Xenopus tropicalis: one gene and its partners. The protein of the gene in region 2 purifies or fractionates together with the protein of the main gene of each other region. This does not show direct contact. Links are inferred from orthologs where the notes say so. Each region holds a gene or a part of one and is shown on either strand. Other genes may lie near its edges.

Evidence for each region.
Region 1: the proteins of tsen15 (region 2) and clp1 purify together in Homo sapiens (affinity purification with mass spectrometry; 4 studies listed by BioGRID and IntAct, counting the BioPlex papers as one, with this or other methods). This does not show direct contact. The link is inferred for Xenopus tropicalis from reciprocal best matches to the Homo sapiens genes TSEN15 and CLP1.
Region 3: the proteins of tsen15 (region 2) and tsen54 purify together in Homo sapiens (affinity purification with mass spectrometry; 4 studies listed by BioGRID and IntAct, counting the BioPlex papers as one, with this or other methods). This does not show direct contact. The link is inferred for Xenopus tropicalis from reciprocal best matches to the Homo sapiens genes TSEN15 and TSEN54.

Annotation. Positions count from the first base shown.
Region 1 is NC_030683.2:55,578,362-55,583,353, forward strand, and holds the start of clp1 (polyribonucleotide 5'-hydroxyl-kinase Clp1), read right to left. Parts: upstream 3,323-4,992; 5' UTR 3,261-3,322; intron 1-3,260. UniProt on the Homo sapiens protein: Polynucleotide kinase that can phosphorylate the 5'-hydroxyl groups of double-stranded RNA (dsRNA), single-stranded RNA (ssRNA), double-stranded DNA (dsDNA) and double-stranded DNA:RNA hybrids. dsRNA is phosphorylated more efficiently than dsDNA, and the RNA component of a DNA:RNA hybrid is phosphorylated more efficiently than the DNA component.
Region 2 is NC_030680.2:120,012,996-120,017,275, forward strand, and holds part of tsen15 (tRNA-splicing endonuclease subunit Sen15), read left to right. Parts: intron 1-2,321; coding exon 2,322-2,457; intron 2,458-4,280. UniProt on the Homo sapiens protein: Non-catalytic subunit of the tRNA-splicing endonuclease complex, a complex responsible for identification and cleavage of the splice sites in pre-tRNA. It cleaves pre-tRNA at the 5' and 3' splice sites to release the intron.
Region 3 is NC_030686.2:44,545,865-44,550,639, reverse strand, and holds the start of tsen54 (tRNA-splicing endonuclease subunit Sen54), read right to left. Parts: upstream 3,323-4,775; 5' UTR 3,166-3,322; coding exon 3,158-3,165; intron 1,331-3,157; coding exon 1,166-1,330; intron 1-1,165.

The DNA.
Region 1 (4,992 bases), on a different chromosome or scaffold from region 2:
AGGTGAGAGAACCTGCAAGCATCAGCTAGAAAGAGACTTGCGTGAGAAGAGCAAGAGTTTCTCTGTGGTGGATGTGAGCAAGTTCCCACTTTAGAAGCCCAAATTAGCAGCAAATTGCAATGCTAAGGTTGACTGACATAACTGGGCCACATGGGACATAACTGTTGTACTGTAAAGTACTTAAGACATTAAATTTTGAATGTGCAGACTTTGGCAGTAAAAGGGCATCTCTGCAACAATATAATTGGGAAAGTCTTTTCACAGGATTAAACAAAAAAGGAAAATAAAATATCTTCAAAATGCTACTTTACTAATATACCTGACAGTATATTCCCCTTGTAAGTAAGGACAGAAATAGCAAAGCAAAACTATTATGATTTGATAGAAGGGTTAGTAAGGAAAGGTTGGTAAAGAAAAATGTATATTTAAGAGATCCAAGGTTAGCTGGGACAGCTGGAAATTTTCTTTGATACAAAGAGGCTAATATAGTGCGCAAACACTAATTAGGCAAGATAAAATAGAGAGGAAAGGGCATTGCAGTGGAGTAAAACAAAATTATTTTTAGATGTGCAAAATAATTTATAAATGAAGCAAGAATGGTGAGAGTATCAGAGGTAAGTAAATTGTTAAGTAAAAGCACAGTCATTTTTCATGTTTTTACACAACTAAGGAACCAGTTAATGAAGGTTTCCTTTTTAACAGACTGAATACTAATAATTTAACTATGGATGGCTAGTTGATGGAATTCAAAAGAGACTAGAACATGTGAAATAAACAAAGGTCTAGGACCTGAGGGTAGTCACTCCAGTGTACTTTAATAAACATACTAAACAGCCAAAGATAGACCGCAATCATAGAGCTAAAGTTAATGACTTTGAGGTTAGCATTGGAAGTACTTTTTTGTTGATGATACTAGATTGTGAAAAACAATTTTGCAGCAGGATGTTGCCACTTTTCAGAGAGATTTGACTAAACTCAAGAAGTACTAAGGCAAAAAAAGTCTTACATTAAAAAAAGGAATTAACTCAAGGGAAGAAATATGTATGTAATTTTGCCTCTTAATAGATCACTGGAAAAGCCTCATGTTAATAACGTAGAAAGGGTGCAGAGATGTGCAACTAAGCAGGTAAAAGGGAAGATAGCACAAGGAAAGTCTAGAGAAATGGTGCTTGGAAGGGTACCAGTACTCTTTACAAGTAAATTAGGGCAATATAAACAGTGCTTTTTTTTTTTTACATAGAAAACATTAAAGAACAAGAGGTCCCTATTTAGGATTGATAAACTCAATTCTAGCAGAAGATAATTAAATTTTTTTTTTTTCTTTTTATATGCACTTTATTAGTCAGCCAGTACCTTTAGATGATATATGGAAGATCTGGAAAATACACTTTTCATTCAATAAAGATAATTTTTAAAGTGATGCTGCAGCAACTCTACCCTGGGTGATGTGATGGCAGATTTTTCACTGCATTGTTTATACCAGTAATCCCCATGTATTGTTCACAGCTTTAAGACCCTGTTTTGTTCACACCTTTTAGTCCCTGCATTGTTCACAACTCAGGCTCAGACTGTAAAAACCCACATTGTTAACATCTCAGACAGACTGTAGGAAGAGTGCCAGCATTGTGTCACTGTATGTACTGACTGCCCGTGCTGCCTGTGTGTGCCATACTTTGCCTGCCCTATGCTGCCTGTGGGAGGTGAACCTGGCAGGGGATTGTTCTGGGAGTTTGTTTGCATTTGGAAATAGTCATTATATGGTCCCTAAGGTGTGCAATTATGTGCTGGGAGTTGCTGCGCTATCCACAGGGGAGGCATATGGATTTAAGGATATGTCTTAATAAACTTCTTTCACATAAGAATGCAGGGTGATATCCCTGCAGTGAGCACCAACCATTTGGGTTTTTGCTGCACTACCACCAATTAATGTGGGTATGGCCTAAAAAGCTCTTATGATAACATGGGTGTGGTTTGAAGTGGGTGCAGTTTAAAAAAGGGAAGTGGTCAAAACTGGCTTCAAATATCGACCCTTCACCATGTAGGCCAAAAAAATTCCGGCCCTCGGTACCACAGAAGTTAGTTAACACTGCAATAAAGTATTTAAAACTTAGAAATAATTACACAGCATGATTAACGCTCAAGTTTTTTAAACTGAAGATAAAACATTTTAGGGCAAAAATAACACTACACACAAAAATGGGCAAATTGATTTTCTATATCTGTGTACACTTGGCCAGTTGTGCATTGTGTGTAAGCCACAGAAAACATACATTAGTGCAGCACGCATATATTCTGGAGCAGCGGCATTAACAGTAGTACATTCTAAGAAAACTTCTAGGAGCACTCTGTTCAGGTGTGCTCCCAAGGAAATAATTAATGTACAATGCATGTAATGTATGCTTTAAAGTTGAAAGAACAGCATGCTCTTGGGAGAAGATTTAATGAAGCAGGCTATCTGAAATAAAAATGAGACAGAGGGTCATATCACACCACCCTATATCACTTGCTAGATAACAATTCTGTATAGGCAACAGTAGGCAAAGTTTAAACAATAGTGTCCAAGGGCCCTTTCACTGTCAAGGAATAAAGGAATTGGTATAAAACTTACTACCCTGCCCAAAATGGCAGCAGATTTTACTTTCATATTCTGTGGTTTTATTTGTTTTACCAGTTTAGTTGCACATCTTTTCACTCTTTCCACATCATTAATATCCTTCTTAAGTACTGGGGCCCAAAACTGCACAGCATAAGGTGAGGCCTCACCAGTGATTTCTAACTATGCAAAATGATATGATGTTTGTATACCTTGAGTCAATTGCCTTTTATATGCAAGACAGTACTATAACCCCGTTAGTAGACACCTATGGATTAACTGTGTTTTCCCACCCACACCTTAGCATCAAAAACCTTGAAACTGTCAAACACTTAAAGGGGCAGTAAATCCAACATGGGTTTAATGAAAAAGGTTTGCTCTAAACATTGAGTAACTTCAAGTTCACTTTTTAGCTAAAAAAATATATATATATATTTTTAATTATCAAAACAACAGTTAAAAAGCATGTTCAGACTTTTTAATTAAACCTATTTTGAAATGTGGTATACGGTCCGTTTAAGTTTACAATTTCTATTCAATCGGCGATCCTCTACCCTTTATGCGCACCATAAAATACCTAATAAACTAGATGGAATTACTCTACTTGTAAATGTAAGGAAATGCAAATAGAGAGACTCCTTCCCAAGCACTACAGAGGAAAGCATACCACCAGGCCGCAGTGCCAAATCTCCGATTAAAAGTTCCTCAGCTCAGTTAGAGTCTCGCTCGTTGTCTTCACGCTGGCCACTAATTCAGACGTCACAATCTCATCTCGCGAGACTGCACGTCACATCCCGTATCCAGAGGCGCTCGCTGCTAGTGCCAAGGGGCCGCTTGCCTCTGGGTGGTTATGGACGTATTATTTATAAAGTAAATAATATAAAATAAACTCAGTGGGATACGGTCTTTCAGTGAGTGAATGGATGAATAAATAAATAAATGAGTGAGTGTCGGGCTTAGAGGTCAGTGTGTATTGGGGGAGTGCAGTGAGACACACTTGAGTAGGTGCTATGATCAGTGACTATAGGACTGAACTATTTGGTTGTTTTTCTTGTGGAAGCTCTGCCATTGCTGCGCTCGGTGAGTTTGGGGGTGCGCTTGAGGGATACTAGAGTTGAATCAGTTTTATAGTGGGATTTTTTTGTTAGATGATGCATTAAGTGGAGCCTGTGGGTCTCATTTATTTACAGGTATTGGCATTCTGAGGGATGTTGCCCTCAATATTTTTTTTTTTGGGGTGGAAGAGGTGTACATTTTATACATTTTGTATGGGGTTTGGGGTGGGGTTTTTTTTTCCTCTGTAGGGAAAATGAAAATTTTGGCATATGATTGGATATTTTGGAGTGTACTTTTTTGATCCTCAGGGTGTGGGGAGTTTTGGGGTGTGCTGCAGGTTTTTTGTTTGGTGAAATGTTGGAGTATGATGCATTTTTTGTGCTGTGTTTAGCAAGCACTATAGAACCTTGTGTATCATTTTATGCCTAGACCCTCAATAACACTTTTCAATAATCACTACAGCGCTACACAGAAATATCTGTATAGACTTTCTGTGGTTCTGGACACAAACAGATCAGCAAAGGAAAATTTTAAAGGTTTACTTTCCCTTTTAAACTTGCAATAAAAAAAAAATAAACAAATTAACAAATAACCTTGTACAATATTGTCAGTAGTAGGAAATCGCTAAAGTCTAAAGGTAACGTGTTACTGAATAAACTAACCCTAGACCAGGGAAAAAAATGACCTGTCCCTGAAGTACTGCACAATTCCTCATTTAAATTTTATATCTGCAGAAAAGAATATATATATATATAATTAACGATTATCGTAATCCCATTAATAGGGCACAAATAGTACTAAGTAACAATAATAAGTGCTAAAGGGCACAAAGTATCCTTTGGGGAAAATGTTTTAAGCATTTGGGATAGGTTGTATATACATGGACTCATTTTAAGATTTCTCTATTTTTTACAGATTTGATTACCGTATATACTCGAGTATAAGCCGACCCGAATATAAGCCGAGGTACCTAATTTTACCTAAGAAAACTGGAAAAACTTATTGACTCGAGTATAAGCCTAGGGTGGGAAATGCAGCCGCTACTGCTAAGTTTCAATAATCAAAATAAATACAAATAAAATGACAGCTCCCCTCAGCGTCCTCCCCAACATCCTCCAGCTCCCCTCAGTGTCCTCCCCACCATACTCCAGCTCCCCCCAGCATCCTCCCCACCATACTCCAGCTCCCCCCAGCATCCTCCCCACCATACTCCAGCTCCCCCCAGCATCCTCCCCACCATACTCCAGCTCCCCCCAGCATCCTCCCCACCATACTCCAGCTCCCCCCAGCATCCTCCCCACCATACTCCAGCTCCCCCCAGCATCCTCCCCACCATACTCCAG
Region 2 (4,280 bases):
TCATGCACAGAGCACTTGAGGGAATAGCTCTTGTACACCTCATGGCGCATAAAAATTGAATAAATGATGCACAATTTAGGGAACGGTCTGGGGGGAATGCCTACATGCCTCCCGTTGCCCTCCCCTCATGAATACAGTGCTTCTAAACAGAGACGGCACTGTATTCATGGGGATAGTCACAGGTCCCTTTGTTCTGAAACAGAGCACAGAGACTTGTGGCAATACAACAGATAAAGGCAGTGTGCAAAGTCTGAAAAATGTCTGCCTTCCTTGATGTAAATATTATGCAACAAATAAACTTATCTCCTGGTTCCATTCCAGATTTCCACATAGAGTTTAATGGAGTTTTCTTGTGCTAAATGTTTCTTATCAAACTCAATCTGACCCAGTGTATCCATTGCAATATGGATTTGTGGATTTATTAAAGCATGGGGAGTGTGCTCAGTAGGAGCTGAAGCTGCTGCTGTGCAGTGTATAAAATAATGAATCAAACTGTAAGGAAGTCAGCATTCTGCCCTACTTACCTGCTACTGGGAACCCTGAGAAGTGGGGGAAAAACTAATTCATATTTAAAATGTTAGTAAATTAGAAAATAGAATGCACTTAAAAGAAATTATTATTTGTGGTGTTCTGTTTGACACCCCATTGAGCAGCACCGCTGTTCTTCCCCCTTTTTGCTTTGTTATAATGCTGACATTGGCATTTAATATACATGCATGTGCCCTATTCTGAATGTGTATTATGCACATTATTTTAACTTCTATAATTGGCAATTACTGTGAGCACTTAGAGAGCAGTAGGGGGCTTATACAGTGCTGCAGGCAAACATTTAACCCATGCATTGTCAAACAGCGTACAGTGAGCCTGGGACAAATAACATGATAATATATAATAATGTAATTATTCATAATGGCTCTGTCGGGATTATATGTTGTGGAGTGGCTATGAGGGTCTGTTCTTTTGCTATTCACTAATACTACTTTACTGCGATTCATTAAACCTTCCTTAATATTTTCTTAATAGGTTCTCTAATCATATATCAAACCACGTTTAATGAAACATATGCACAAAATATAGGGCATTTTACTAAGAGACTGGAAGTAGTGAGGCCAGTTTTCAGAGACAGTTGCTGGGTGGGGCATGTTCAAATGATGAAAAAGGGATGGGTATGTCAGGGCCTAGGGGAACTGTAGATGCAGCTGTTGGAGGGGAGAAAATGAAATGCAGGGAAGGAGAGACTGTTGTGTATGTGGATAAAAGGTGAGGATGCTTCTAGAGTAGACATGGAAAGGAAGAGGTTAAGAGTGGAGAATTTCCTCTAACACAGTAGTGAAAGGTAACATATTAGTGGGAAACAAGTGCAATAACGATGTGCTGCTTTCTGGTGTTCTAGAATTTCTATTTTGCTGCTGAAATTCCTGTTTTTTGCTTACAACAATGAAAGCCACACACCCTTTTACTTAGAACAATACAATAGTATTCCATTATTCCATTCCATTTTGTGATATGAACAAAATGGCAATCGTAACAAGTTTTGGGCCAGTGATTCTTGCTTTTCTTTGTGTTTACAAATGTATCTTGGCACAATTGTGCAATGTCACACCCAAAATAACCTCTGAGATTGGCAGATATCTGTGACACCTCAGACACACCTAGGTTCTGGGATTCCAGGTACACTCATATTTCATCCTGTTGACAAACAAATTGCATTTTGCAATTAATGTGAAATAAAATTGGGTGCAATGAAAGGGAGACTTCCATCTGCATTTATTCCCTAACCATGCGTTAACATTCCTAATATCATGCTGCCACTCCCAATTTGCACACAGAAGCCTTGATGTGTCTAGTTATACCCATTTGGATGCATTTGCTTATTGACTTGGCAGGTCAAGCCTTAGGAATGTAAATCCTGTTTGGGTCAGTTAGGGATTGTCACACAGTATAAACAAAGCTTTAGAGAGTTAAAGGGTTAATGCCTTCATAGCTTAATTCTCTGTTCCCCCTACTTGGTTTGAATGTTCTTTTTTGGTGGTGATCACCTAGTGCAATATACAAACACCATGACTTGGTGCATCAGTAGTTGAAATTTTGTAACCGATTACGGTACTGACCAGTATCCAAAGTACATGGATATCAGTCTGGCTTGGAGGGGCAACATGTGTACCAATAGTCATTCGAAACAGCTGTTGGTAAATATACAGTTTAAAGGTGATCCAAGTCCAAAAACTGTTTTGTTTTTTTGTATTATATAAAACAAAAATTGCCTTTAAATTCAGAGGACTTGTCCTGTTAATGTTTTTATATTTAAATTATTCCTACAGTAAGAAACTGGCATGATGTGAAGATTCATGGCTCATCAGAACTTCATCTTATCTACTTACACGGACTGGAGAAAGAAGGCTGTATACCACAGTTGATAATACCGACTCCAGTATCCATGTCATACAGTCATGAGAGGTAGGTAACCACTAGGGCTTCATTATTGTGATAGTTAACACATCTATTTCCCGGACAAACAAATGTAAAATACTTTTGCAACTTAGTGAAATTCTTACTTTTAAAAATTCTGAATATATTTGATATATTCACAGTTGGGGATTAAACCCTTTCCTTGCCAACCCTCACAGCTGCATGACAAAACTGAAAGTAATTCAAAAAGTATAAAAAAATTAAATTTGAAGACCTGTTCAAATTTGTCTTAGAATACCACTGTCCATATTGCATTAAAATTTACAATCGAAGAATGTTATCCTGACCTACGTAAAGTGTCATATGAGCTTTGTTTTTCAATACTTTTTCTATTCTGTAGAATTAAAATGAAAAGAAATGTTTGTTCTATAAAGAATATACAAAAAAAATATAATATCAAAGGAGCTGTAAACCCAAATGTAAACTTTTACATAATGAAAGCAGACAATTTAAATTAACCTTCTGATATACATGAGTGATGTTAAATTTATTAAAAAAAGTCTGAAAGGCATTGCGGGTAATGGAGTATTGGCTGTAGGAGATCATGTAGTCAGAAACAGCTGTGCAAAGAATGCACAAATACAGATAGATTAGAAACTGCTTTTAGTAGCAAAGTATTGAAAACATCATTGGAAATTTGCAATTTGTGCATATTGGAAAATTACTTAGAATATAGTTGCCTATTATTGTGCAAAATGTTTTTAAGCATCTCAGTGTCTGCCATTGCCACCCACAGAGGTCCAGAAGGCACTAAACTTGTACAGCAGTGATGTCCTAGCCACCCCGAAACCAGCAGGGGGGGCAAGTTCAAGCCATAAAACTACATCCAATTGGCAACTGAACTCTGTCCTTGGCCCACCCTGTCTGTGACATCATTATATCCTGCTTTCACCTCCAGTTGTCACTATATTTATATATTTGCACCTGCATAGCCCCCCTTCCTTTTTTTGATGTCACAAGTGGGGTGGGGGCAGTGTGGGTAATAAGTATTGATAGCACAACATGTCAGGTAGGGTTCGGGTTGGGAGCGGTCTGGTTAGGTCAGGTGTAGGTTGTCTTTTTGTCGAAGCACACATCACTATTGTGCAGAGCTGCCTGATCCCAGGAATGAACTAGCCAAATGGAAGTTACAAATCAGTGCTGCTGCTCCAGAGAACATAAGATGGCCATACCTGCCTAGATTTCAAGCATAAACGCCTAACCATCTAGGCACGTATAGACATTGGAAGGGCAGCTTAAAATGATATAAGATTATAGGAAAACTTCTGCGGATTGGCTAAAAAAAAGTGAAGTGGAGCCACAGTTGTCCTCAATGGACAGAACAATGCAAGGGTGGTCACTCTCACATCCATGCTACCTGCAGCCCAACTGGTCAGTTACCATGCAAGCCTGGCCCATAATTGTACATTTGATCTGGGGTGAAAAATGTTTCTCATACAATGTCTATGTTTCCAAGCTGCAGTTTTGTAACTATGGTGCCAGTATTTTTATTATTTATTGATTAGTTTCCACTAAAATATGTACAAAGCAATTCTAAATGTATAATTAGAGGCTTGGAAACTTAAGCTGGCCATACATGCACCAATATAATCCGTTTTGTAAGGTTTTTAGACCGTATGTGGGCTCTGAATTATCACCCTGAAAATTTTTGTACCATGGATGATGATTGGTTGTTTAGCCATTTGGACAGGTTAGAAAATGTCAGTTGGATAACAATAAAATCTGCGTGTGTATTGTGTATCTGACAATATGCTTGGGGGACCTACAAGGCATTTCCGGGACATCACTTTTGTACGATTGGTGTCTGCAAA
Region 3 (4,775 bases), on a different chromosome or scaffold from region 2:
AACAAAAAAAGCAGCAGTGAGGTACAAGCCTGCTTCTAAAGGTCCCCATATACGGGCAAATCCGCTCACTTGGCAATGTCACCAAGCGAGCAGATCTTCTTCAGATATCCCCACCTACGGGTGGGCGATATCGGGAGAATCCACGATAATTCGATCGTTTGGCCCTGGGGGTATAGCAAAAGTCGGTCCAAGATACCACTAGATTTTCTAACCTGCCCGATCGAGATCTGGCCAATTTCAGGCCAGATATCGGTCGGGCAGGCCCATTGGTAGTGCCAATACACGGGCCGATAAGCTGCCGAATCTGTCTAAGGGACCAATATTGGCAGCTACAATCTGCCAGTGTATGGGTACCTTAAGCCTTTCCAATGATTTAATATGCAATGCCCAATAAGATAACAATGATAATGACACCAAAAGTGAAATCCCAACCCACCTCCAGGGGTACCTAGTCCTCGTTGTATAAACTTTGGGTCTATTGCTCCCTATTTTAAAGCTGGCATCCAGGGTCGGACTGGGGGGAGCAGAGCCCACCGGGGCTGCCACCCCAGAGACCCCCACAGTGGGGTCCAAGTCCAGGCCTGGCTGGCAGGAAGAGCGAGCGAGTCAGTAACCACAGAGGCAGCAATTTTTACCAAGGTCAAAATGGTGAAAGAATACATCCTGATGGGTTATGTGAGTAAAATGATCCAGTTCTAAAAGCTACCCGAAATGCTAGGGAGAGTAGATCAGCTGTTGTTCTAAGGCAGCCAGACAAAACATGGGGAAGAGAGGTAATTCCTGTTACTAATGAGGTATTTATAAACCAGGCACAGACAATACTAGTGCAAGCAAACAATACGGAGTTTAATCACTACCAGATAGCAACAATATATATATAAATAAATATATGTATATAGGCCAACATGTAACACCGCACTCACAGGTATTTAGTGAAAAGCAAAAAAGAAATTAATTGATTTAATAAATAGATTTTTTGCTTTTCACTAAAGACCCGTGAGTGCAGTGTTACACATTGTTCTATCATTTCCAGTAGACTCCTGCATCTAGGCATGTAACCTTATCAAATGAAGTGCACATAATTTGCTATATATATATATATATATATATATCCACCCTGAATATCCCTTTTCCCTACACATGGAGGGCACCCCTAAACACTCACAATCGCTCCACACGCTCCTCTTTTAGCAGCTCCCATTGCTCGGCGCGGCACAGCCGCAGCTTCTCGTTCTGAGCCTCGGAGCCGTCGGGCAGAAAGTCCTTTTGCCCATGGGAGCGCTGAGGGATGCTCTTCTCACGGCTCCTGGCGGCAAGCAGTTCCTCTGGGCTGTAGGGAAAGTAAACACTTTATTTGATGGGACATTTTATAGACATTGCCAGATAGATACACTACTTAACACTAGCGCCAGCAGTGCCAATAGTTATAAGGGCTTTGCTTAAATCCAGGACCCAATGGGCTATGTCATAATATCTGGGTTTATATGTCCTGTCCGCACGTCACTGATACCATAAGGTGCCCAGATCTTACTGACTTACGCCAAAGACACACGAGGCGATTAGTCGGTGCGACTGAGTTTTAATTAACTCAGTCGCGGCGACTAATTGCTGCGACTTTCTGCGCATAGAGTACAACTGCATCTCACCTATTAGATGCCGCAAATTATCAAAAAGTTGCGGCGACTAATCGCCCTGTGTGCCAGAGCCCTTAGGGTGAAGACACACAGAGCTACTAGTAGCAGCTACCTGTCACGGCTACTAAAATAGACAATGCTGATCATTTACTGATAATTGTCTCTATGTGTGTTTTAGGGCCGTGACAGACGGGGAGATTAGTCGCCCGCACCAAATCTCCCTTGTCGCGGGCGACTAATCTCCCCGAAATGCCATCCAACCAGCTAGAATGTAAATCGCCGGTGGGATAGCATACACAGTGCCAAAGTTTCCTCTCAAGGCAAATCGCCACGCCGCGTATGCCATCCCACCAGCGATGGCATTTGGGGGAGATTAGTCGCCCGCGACAAGGGAGATTTGTCACGGGCGACTAATCTCCCCGTCTGTAACGGCCCTTAGCAAAGGCAATTCTCAGTACTGCAGAAAAGTTAGCATTGTTGGATGGAGCACGCCAGGACGACTTTTTCAGTAAAAAATTATCCTTTATTTCTTGCTTCCATTAAAAACATATTGAGAAACTGAAACCCCCCCAGCTTAACGCGTTTCATGGCTCAACGCCACTTCATCAGAAGCTATAAGCAATTCTCAGTATTGTCAGGAGATTGGCAGGGGATTTTCTGATGTTTAGTAGCCGTGACGTGTAGCTGCTACTAAGTAGCTCTGTGTGTCTTCACCCTTAAGGTGGCCATACACAGTAAGATTTGTTTGTCTGGCGAGGTCACTAAACGAGCAATTCTTCCCCCAATACACTGCTAGGGGCCAATACGCTGCTAGGGGCCAATACGCTGCTAGGGGCCAATACGCTGCTAGGGGCCAATACGCTGCTAGGGGGCCAATACGCTGCTAGGGGGCCAATACGCTGCTAGGGGCCAATACGCTGCTAGGGGGCCAATACGCTGCTAGGGGGCCAATACGCTGCTAGGGGGCCAATACGCTGCTAGGGGGCCAATACGCTGCTAGGGGGCCAATACGCTGCTAGGGGCCAATACGCTGCTAGGGGGCCAATACGCTGCTAGGGGCCAATACGCTGCTAGGGGGCCAATACGCTGCTAGGGGGCCAATACGCTGCTAGGGGGCCAATACGCTGCTAGGGGGCCAATACGCTGCTAGGGGCCAATACGCTGCTAGGGGGCCAATACGCTGCTAGGGGGCCAATACGCTGCTAGGGGGCCAATACGCTGCTAGGGGCCAATACGCTGCTAGGGGCCAATACACTGCTAGGGGGCCAATACACTGCTAGGGGCCTCTACTGTAAGGCCACACACAGGGCAGTCATGTATATAAGGCAAACAGGTATATAATAAAGTTGTACAGTAACAGCACAAGGAGGAAAGGGCAATAAGCCCCCAGTATCCACCCTCCGACTGGGAACCCCCTACCCCTAACGCGCTGCCCCACTAACACTTCCAACGCGAGTGGCCGAGCGCGGTGCCGGTTTCAGGAAAGTCCGAGGCTTCTGCGGCCTAAGCGGCTCCGCACTCACCTGAGCATCGTGAGACCGGGCTGTGCGCCACATCCGAGCCGCTGTGCTTATAAGGCAGTCCCTGGGCGGGGGGGCAGCTGTGCCAGGGATAGAGAGCTGTGCCAGCCCCGGGATTCGTGTCTCTCAGGCCGGGACAGTGTGGGAACTGCCGGGACTCACAGGCTCAGCCCAGTGTGCACTCAGGGCACTTCCACCCCACGTGGGGCAGGACTCCCCCCCCAATACCCCGCCCCCCCCAGTATCCTGCCCCCCCAATACCCCGGGGCCCCCCAGTACCCTGCCCCCCCCAGTACCCTGCCCCCCAACACTCCGAGCCCCCCCCAGTACCCTGCCCCCCCCAATACCCCGGGGCCCCCCAATACCCTGCCCCCCCAACACTCCGGGCCCCCCCCCCCCCCAGTACCCTGCCCCCCCAACACTCCGGGCCCACCCAGTACCCTGCCCCCCCAACACTCCGGGCCCCCCCCCCAGTACCCTGCCCCCCCAACACTCCGGGCCCCCCCCCAGTACCCTGCCCCCCCAACACTCCGGGGCCCCCCCCCCAGTACCCTGCCCCCCCAACACTCCGGGCCCCCCCCAGTACCCTGCCCCCCCAACACTCCGGGCCCCCCCAGTACCCTGCCCCCCCAATACCCCGGGGCCCCCCAGTACCCTGCCCCCCCAACACTCCGGGCCCCCCCCAGTACCCTGCCCCCCCAATACCCCGGGGCCCCCCAATACCCTGCCCCCCCAACACTCCAGGCCCCCCAGTACCCTGCCCCCCCAACACTCCGGGCCCCCCCCCCCAGTACCCTGCCCCCCAACACTCCGGGCCCCCCCAGTACCCTGCCCCCCCAACACTCCGGGCCCCCCCCCCCCAGTACCCTGCCCCCCCAACACTCCGGGCCCCCCCAGTACCCTGCCCCCCCAACACTCCGGGCCCCCCCCAGTACCCTGCCCCCCCAACACCCCTAAACTGCTACCCGCTTATGCTTTATCACTTTATTTCACATTAATTAGAACTTATTCAACCTTCTCACTACTGCTTGGTATTCCCCTGTGTGTGTCGCATGTAAAGTTTACACCTTTTGTGGGAAAAAATACAGGTCTTTCTATATATTTATCTTTTTTCCCTATTATTGACAGTGAGATCCAGCATGAATTGTAGGGCTAAGTGGCAACCCTAATTCCCAGTTATATTCTCTGTCTGTCTGTCTGTCTGTCTGTCTGTCACTCATCAATCATCTATCTATCTATCTATCTATCTATCTATCTATCTATCTATATATATAGAGTCCAGAGTGGGGAGCACACCAAATAATGGCACTAAACCTCGGTGCCAGAGCAAGAAAATCTCCAGCCAAGTAAAAGTGTCGGCACTCATAGGATTTAATCATCTAAGCACAAAAACAATAAAGGCTTTTTCAGATGCAAGCGGTGAGATTTATTTCCAACGTTTCAGTCCTTACCTAAGACTTTCGTCAGGCAACCCTAGTTCCCAGTTATATTCTCTGTCTGTCTGTCTGTCTGTCTATCACTCATCAATCATCTATATATATATATATATATATATATATCGTCTATCTAGTATCTCTCTATATACCTGTCTGTCTATTTCTTATCTATCATATCTATCTAT